Callithrix jacchus: one gene and its partner. The protein of the gene in region 2 interacts with the protein of the main gene of each other region in a pairwise test. Links are inferred from orthologs where the notes say so. Each region holds a gene or a part of one and is shown on either strand. Other genes may lie near its edges.

Region 1 (4,394 bases), on a different chromosome or scaffold from region 2:
GGTTCAAGCAATTCCCCTTCAGCCTCCCAAGTAGCTGGGATTACAGGTGCCTGCCATCATGCCCGGCTAATTTTTGTATTTTTAGTAGAGACAGGGTTTCACCATGTTGGTCAGGCTGGTCTTGAACTCCTGACCTCAGGTGATCTGCCCTCCTCAGCCTCCCAAAGTGCTGGGATTACAAGCATGAGCCACCACACCCAGCCTCTAGTCTTAGTCTATAGGAGAGAGAACAGATGGAAAAATATGAGTCAGATACTATACTAGTAGCTTTACATTTATTACCTCACTTAACCAAGGTAACAGATGATAAAACAGAGGCTGTGAAAATATGTGTGTATGCATGCCTACTATCACAGGTAGTCAGTGACACAGCTGATCTAACTCCATGCCTTTCCCTATAGTACAGTGACTTCCTTGAATAAAGAGAAGGAACAGATTTGGTGCAGTGGCTCACATCTGTTTTCCCAGCACTTTGGGAGGCTGAGGCTAGCTTGGCCAACATGGTGAAACCCCGTCTCTACTAAAAATAAAAAAACTAGGTCAGGCGTGATGGCTCATGCCTGTAATCCCAGCACTTTGAGAGGCCGACGCGGATGGATCACCTGAGGTCAGGAGTTCAAGACCAGCCTGACCAAGATGGTGAAACTCTGTCTCTACTAAAAATACAAAAATTGCCAGGCGCAGTGGCTCACGCCTATAATCCCAGCACTTTGGGAGGCTGAGGAGGGCAGATCACCTGAGGTTGGGAGTTTGAGACCAGCCTGACTAACATGGAGAAACTCCGTCTCTACTAAAAATATACAAGTAGCTAGGCCTGGTGGCACATGCCTATAATCCCAGATACTTGGGAGGCTGAGGCAGAAGAATCAATTGAACCCAAGAGGTGGAGGTTGTGGTGAGCTGAGATCACGCCATTGCACTCCAGCCCGGGCAACAAGAGTGAAACTCCATCTAAAAAAAATAATACAAAAATTAGCTGGGCATGGTGGTGTGTGCCTGTAATCCCAAGTACTTGGAAGGCTAAGGCAGGAAAATCTCTTGAACCTGAGAGATGAAGGTTGCAGTAAGCCGAGATCACACCATTGCACTCTAACCTGGGCGACAAGAGCGAAACTCTGTCTCAAAACCCCCCCCCAAAAAAAAAAAAAAAACAAAACTACCTGGGTGTGGTGGTGGCCACCTGTAATCCCAGTTACTTGAGAGGCTGAGGCACGAGAATCACTTAAACCTGGGGGCGGAGGCTGGAGTGAGCTGAGATCATGCCACTGCACTCCAGCCTGACTGACAAGAGTGAGACTGTCTTAAAAAAAAAGAGAGAGGAAGGAAGGGCTAAAGACCTAATCAACACATCCTCAGCACTGACACCAAACCCTTTAATTCATCTCCCCATCCAACTCCTCCTCCCTGTAGTGTCAGCCCAAGGACCACGTGGTTGCAGCTTAACTCACCAGGGCCTCTCTTATCCCAGCCACAGATCATGGTGCCCATGGACAGCCCCATGCCTTTGTACTGATACACCATGTTGGCAAGCAGCTTGGAGGCAGCTGCTACAGAGATGCGTTCCTTATTGCGAAGCTCATAGATTCGACATTGCCGAGCCAACAGCCGTTCCCAGAAGCTGCAATCTGCTGCGCCCCCAGCCATGGTGCCCAGCAGGTATGGGTTGATCTCTATCACCTTCTTCACCGTCTGGGAGGCAATGTAAGCACCTGCTGTAGCCCTGGAGTCAGCCGCAACTATGACTCCATGGCGGAACTGTTAAGATGAGAGAAAAACACAAAACAGGCCACATAAGACCACAAAAACACCCCTACATACTTCTTTTTGCATCAATCGAAACCCAGCACATCTTTCTGTCCTTCTATACTTCACAGTATACTTCTCCACATATTAATGTCACTTGAGCTTCACTTCAATCCTTTGACATGGGTATGACCCATATTAAATTCATTTTACAGGATGCGTGCGGTGGTTCATTCCTGTAATCCCAGCATTTTGGAGGCCAAGGTGGGAGGCCAGGTGCTGGAGACCAGTTGGGCAACGCAGGGAAACCCATCTCTACAAAAAGTAAAAAAATTAGCCTGTCATGGTGATGTGTGCTCTGGAGGCTGAGACGCTGGCACGACTGCACGCTAGCCTGGGGAACAGGGCGGGACCCTGTCTTTAAAAAAATCATTTTATAGATGAGGAAACTGGTTCAATGAGATCGAATGACTTGTTCAATCTAGTTACTGCAGAGTTGGGCAAGATGCCCCAAATGTCTGGTTCTTGGTACAATGCTTACCCTCACCAAGCTTCCCCTTCATGCCAGTTTCAGATACCCTTGCCTTGAGGGGCCGCCCAGTTTCCAAAACTTTGGTAAACGGTTTCAATAGCCTTCCCTCGGCCAAGGTTCATTGTTGTTGCGGTCTTTCCCCCTTCCCAGCTAAAAGTTTCTGAACAGCAGCAACCTGGGGTCGCCTAGGACATTAACCCAAGAAGCCTCTGCTTCCTTCCCGACTTACCCCCAACCCCGCCACCACCCTCTCCAACCAGAGCGAGGACAGGGGCCTCCTGGGGCAATGAAACAGCAAAACCACTGCGGTCCGAAAGAGAGGACCGAGCCTCCGCCTGGGTTGGTGGCCAAGGCCACCGCAAACTCCAGTCAGGCTGGGAGGCCAGGCAGGTCGCGGACGTTCAGTACTCAGCCTGGCAGGGCGGCTGGCTCCGCACCTTGAAGGCCAGGGTGGTTGTTCCATGAAGCATTTCGATTCCTGGCTCCTCTGGGACACTCCAGCCTGGCATGGCCAGGGTCAGCCCATCACTGGGACTTCCTGGACCCAGATCCAACAGATCTGCACGACCCCCGAGTCCGAAAAACCCGGGCTGGTTCACCGGTAGCTGTCTCTCCAACACGCTGGCTAGCGCCATGTCTAGTGTGGGCATAAAGAACTAACTCTGACAACGCCTACCAAAGATAGGCTTGGGCAACGCCTCGCCGTCATAGCTTCACTTCCTATTAAATCTATTCCGGAAAGGAGCCATTTTGACTGCTGGCAACCACGCCTCCAGAAAGAACAGCCAGATGCGAAAGACTATTTTCACTGAAGACGGTGGGGGAAATAGATGGCTTCACCAACCTTTAATTCTGAAAGGATGTAGCTGCCATCTTGGCTTTGGTCTCGCACGTAGTTTTGGATCAGAGTAACTTCAAATTCACAGGAAGTGACTGGAAACGTCCATGTTGCGCGAGGGAAGTGAGGTCGGCCATCTTTGAGAAGGGAGTGACTGGTTGAAAATCGGTTCTGAACTCTTAGTGGTGAGTCCTCACACTACAGCCTGGTGTCCAAGCAACAGGTTACATCGCTGCTGCTTCCAGCACCTTGTTAACGCGCCTTGGGTTGCCATCTTGTTTAAGGGGACCCTCTAAAATTGGTCCATTGGTAAAATGATGATCCATTCTGAGACCATTTCCCCATGATATTAAACCACAGTAATTTGTGGTAAAAAGCGCAACAAAATAAAAGTGCTGTACCTCTTGTCAGTTGCCTTAACAGTAACCGGTTTTTTTTTTTTTTCTTTTGAGACGGAGTTTCGCTCTTGTTACCCAGGCTGGAGTGCAATGGCGTGATCTCGGCTCACTGCAACCTCCGCCTCCTGGGTTCAGGCAATTCTGCCTCAGCCTCCTGAGTAGCTGGGATTACAGGCACGCGCCACCATGCCCAGCTAATTTTTTTGTATTTTTAGTAGAGACGGGGTTTCACCATGTTGACCAGGATGGTCTCGATCTCTTGACCTCGTGATCCACCCGCCTCGGCCTCCCAAAGTGTTGGGATTACAGGCGTGAGCCACCGCGCCCGGCCCAGTAACCGGTTTTTAATATCCAATATTCTCTTGACTCCTACCGTCTGGTGGAAATTCAAACAAGTAATGAATTGCCTAAAAGGCAGATGAAAGAAGAAAAAGCAAAGGGTTCAGTTTATCCATAAACTAAACTCTCAATTCAGACCTGAATAATTGTCACTAGTAATTTACCATCTCAGAGCCTGGAGGACAGTTGAGACTGCATAAATATGTACCAAGAGATTCTCTAACTTCAACTTGCCAAGGTGATGCTCTTTATTCAGGAATGTACTATATTTCATTGCCTCCCTCCACCCACCTTCATTTTTCGAATCTTTTGGGAACTATAACAAACCAGAAAGTGTGCATATGTATGAAATGTTGCCTCCTGCCTTATGGTTCTATGAAGTCAGTGTCTGGCCTTCCTTGTTGGATCCTAGCAACAACATCTATCAACATCGAAATTCCACTTTCCTCTTGAATTGGGCTGGATGCCCAATTCAGCCCCTTCTTTCCTGCAGCAGACTCTGCATATGCTGTTATTTGTTTTGTTTTTGAGATGGAATCTTGCT
Region 2 (2,935 bases):
TTTTCAACAATCACACAAAATGCCATCACTATGGGCTTTCGGTCACTAAAATTCCATTTATGTTCCTTTTTGATAAGAACATAAGAGACTCAAGACTCAATTCAAAGGACTAGAAAACCTAATTAAATTAGCAGAAAATCTGAAGAACCAAGCACCTTAAGAACATGTTAGGTCTCATGGGGACTTAGTTTAGATCAGCCATGGGTGAAGCAGGAGCAAGAGCAACAGTTGATGTTGTTTCTCAAACATGAGTCTTCTGCAGTAGCCAGTAACTGGGAAACTCAGCTGAAAGCTCCCTCCTCAAGGCTGAAAATTTGTATTTCTTATCAGATACAAACATGAAAAGAGGAGAGGACCCTTGAGATGATCAGAATAAAAGTATTCCTTCCTAAGTAGCCAGTTACTTGAAACTGTGACTGAAGGGGGAAAATTCCAGTATGTGGATTCTAATACCTTTGAGAACAGAAACTTCATTTTTTCTATTCATTAGAGGCAACTCAAACTTGGAAATAACATGACACTTTTGAGATTCATATTTTATTTACAAGTAAATGAAGAATGTCCCTGTAAACTCTAATTCGGGACACAAAGAACAATATAAAGTAGTTGCTGGTGCCAGTGACATGTGAAGGAGTCTATGCCACTGTTTCTTGAAACAATGATTTTGCTATTTAAAAAAAAAAACCCACCTACATGATTTATTCATGTTTCATGTGTAAAAGAATGAAAAATAAGAGTGATTTTTCAAAACTCTACAGTCTCTGATCAACTGTGTGAGGTGGCCAGGATGTCACTTTCACTCAGTGACAGCCCCTACTCTTCAAGAGCAACAGCCTCTGGGCAAGACTTAGTACTCCTCCAGAGTATCTGCTCGAGGAATGGAAAGACCTCGGTCCTTCAGGGCCTGCACTTTCAGCTTCTCTGCCTCCAACTTGGTCTGCTGTTCCACCCTTTGCTCTTCTAGAATTTCTTCAATGGATACTTGCTGGAGGGGTGTGTCACTCTCCTTTTCCAAGTCCTACAAAAGAGACAGGTTTGAAAACTTCACCTGAAGACCAAGAATAGAAAACATTACCGATCTAAAGGCAGATGGATTCCTGTATCAGGCTCGAATTATTTTTCATAACTGTGACAGGACTGAAATATCCTTCTCCTAGGGACAGGTAAGTTTTTCAAAGAAGTGCCTGACAACACTACGATAAGATACATACTTACGATGAATGTGGTTACAGTGATCAGTATTTCTATAACAAAGCTTTATATGATCCAAAATCCCATATTAGGATTCATTTTCTATTAGTCAAGGATTAATCTCCTTAAAAAAAAAATTAGGGCTGCTTATAGACAGCTATCTCCCCGGCTGTAGAGAATCCAAGAGGGAGGTTATTGAGGCAGTGTGGCCTTAGAAAAATTTTTTAAAAAATTATTTTAAGGATGGGTGGGGTGGCTCATGCTTGTAATTCCAGCACTTTGGGAGACTGAGGTGGAAGGATCACTTGGGCCTAGGAGTTCGAGACCAGCCTGGGCAATACAGTGAGACCCCAACTCCATACACACACACAAAAAAGCAGATGTGGTGGTGTGCACCTACAGTTCCAGCTATTCAAGAGGCTGAGGTGGAAGGACTGCCTGAGCCTGGGAAGTTGGAGGTCAAGGCTGCAGTGAGCCATGAACATGTCACTGCACTCCAGCCTGGGCAACAGAGCAAGACTCTGTCTCAAAAATAAATAAATAAATAAAAAGGCAAAAATAAAAGGGATCCTCTTGCTTTCACCTCCCAAGTACTATAGGTATATGCCTGGAACTACAGGTATATGCCATCGCACCGGCTCTGTAGTCTCTAAACTATAACACAAGACTCTTTTTTTCCTTTATGGCAAGAAGTATTCTAGAGAAAACCTCAGCAGACCATTGAGGTTACTAAACCAATTTGGTCCCAATATTTTTCTCCACTATTAAAAAAATTGTTGCCTAATAAAAAATTCCTTTTCCTTATTTAAAAAGTACATGCTCATTGCAGATAATATAGAAAAGACAAATAGGAAAAATTAAAAAATCATCCATAATTCCAATACGGAGAATTAACATTTTTGGTTAATATCCCTACAATTTTTCTATGTATATACTGACTAAAAAAAACCCCAGCCAGGCGTGGTGGCTTACACTTGTAATCCCAACTACTCAGGAAGCTGAGGCAAGAGAATCACTTGAACCCAGGAGGCAGAGGTTGCAGTGTGCCAAGATCACACCACTGCACTCTAGCCTGGGCGACTGAGTAAGAATCTGTTTGAAGAGGAAAAAAAAAAAAAATTAGCTGGGCATGGTGATATGTACCTGTAATCCCAGCTACTCAGGAGGCTGAGGGGGGAGGATCACTTGAGGCCAGCAGTTTGAGGCTGCAGTGAGCCACGATCACACCACTGCAGTTAGCCTGGATAAGAGTGAGACTCTGTCTTAAAAACAACCCCCTCTCACCCAAAAACCCACAATGCAAATACTGACTGTAATTCATTTTCATTTACATGTGGCACAGTATGCTTAATATTTTTATTTTTGAATGCTTTATAAACATTTTTCATGTTATTTACTTTTAAAAATATGGAAGGCTTCATAAATTTGCATGTCATCCTTATGCAGGAGCCATGCTAATCTTCTCTGTGTTGTTCCAATTTTAGTATATGCTCTGCCAAAGCAAGCACAACATTTTTCATTTTATATATTTTTAATAGAGTCAGGGTTTCACCATGTTGACCGGGCTGGTCTCAAACACCTGACCTCAGGCAATCCACCCACCTCGGCCTCCCAAAGTGCTGGGATTACAGGCGTAAGCCACCACGCCTGGCAACATTTTTCATTTTTTTTAGAGACAGGATCTTGCTCTGTTGCCCAAGGTGGAATGCAGTGGCACGATCACAGCTCTCTGTGATCTGAAACT

Evidence for each region. The genes of interacting proteins can lie anywhere in the genome.
Region 1: the proteins of LSM1 (region 2) and PSMB5 interact in binary tests that used the Homo sapiens proteins (3 or more experiments, as listed by UniProt). The link is inferred for Callithrix jacchus from reciprocal best matches to the Homo sapiens genes LSM1 and PSMB5.

The regions. Positions count from the first base shown.
Region 1 is NC_133509.1:57,404,898-57,409,291, forward strand, and holds the start of PSMB5 (proteasome subunit beta type-5), read right to left. Parts: upstream 2,934-4,394; 5' UTR 2,926-2,933; coding exon 2,713-2,925; intron 1,756-2,712; coding exon 1,449-1,755; intron 1-1,448. UniProt on the Homo sapiens protein: Component of the 20S core proteasome complex involved in the proteolytic degradation of most intracellular proteins. This complex plays numerous essential roles within the cell by associating with different regulatory particles.
Region 2 is NC_133514.1:38,988,073-38,991,007, forward strand, and holds the end of LSM1 (U6 snRNA-associated Sm-like protein LSm1), read right to left. Parts: intron 2,698-2,935; exon of another isoform or gene 2,593-2,697; intron 1,019-2,592; coding exon 848-1,018; 3' UTR 522-847; downstream 1-521. UniProt on the Homo sapiens protein: Plays a role in the degradation of histone mRNAs, the only eukaryotic mRNAs that are not polyadenylated. Probably also part of an LSm subunits-containing complex involved in the general process of mRNA degradation.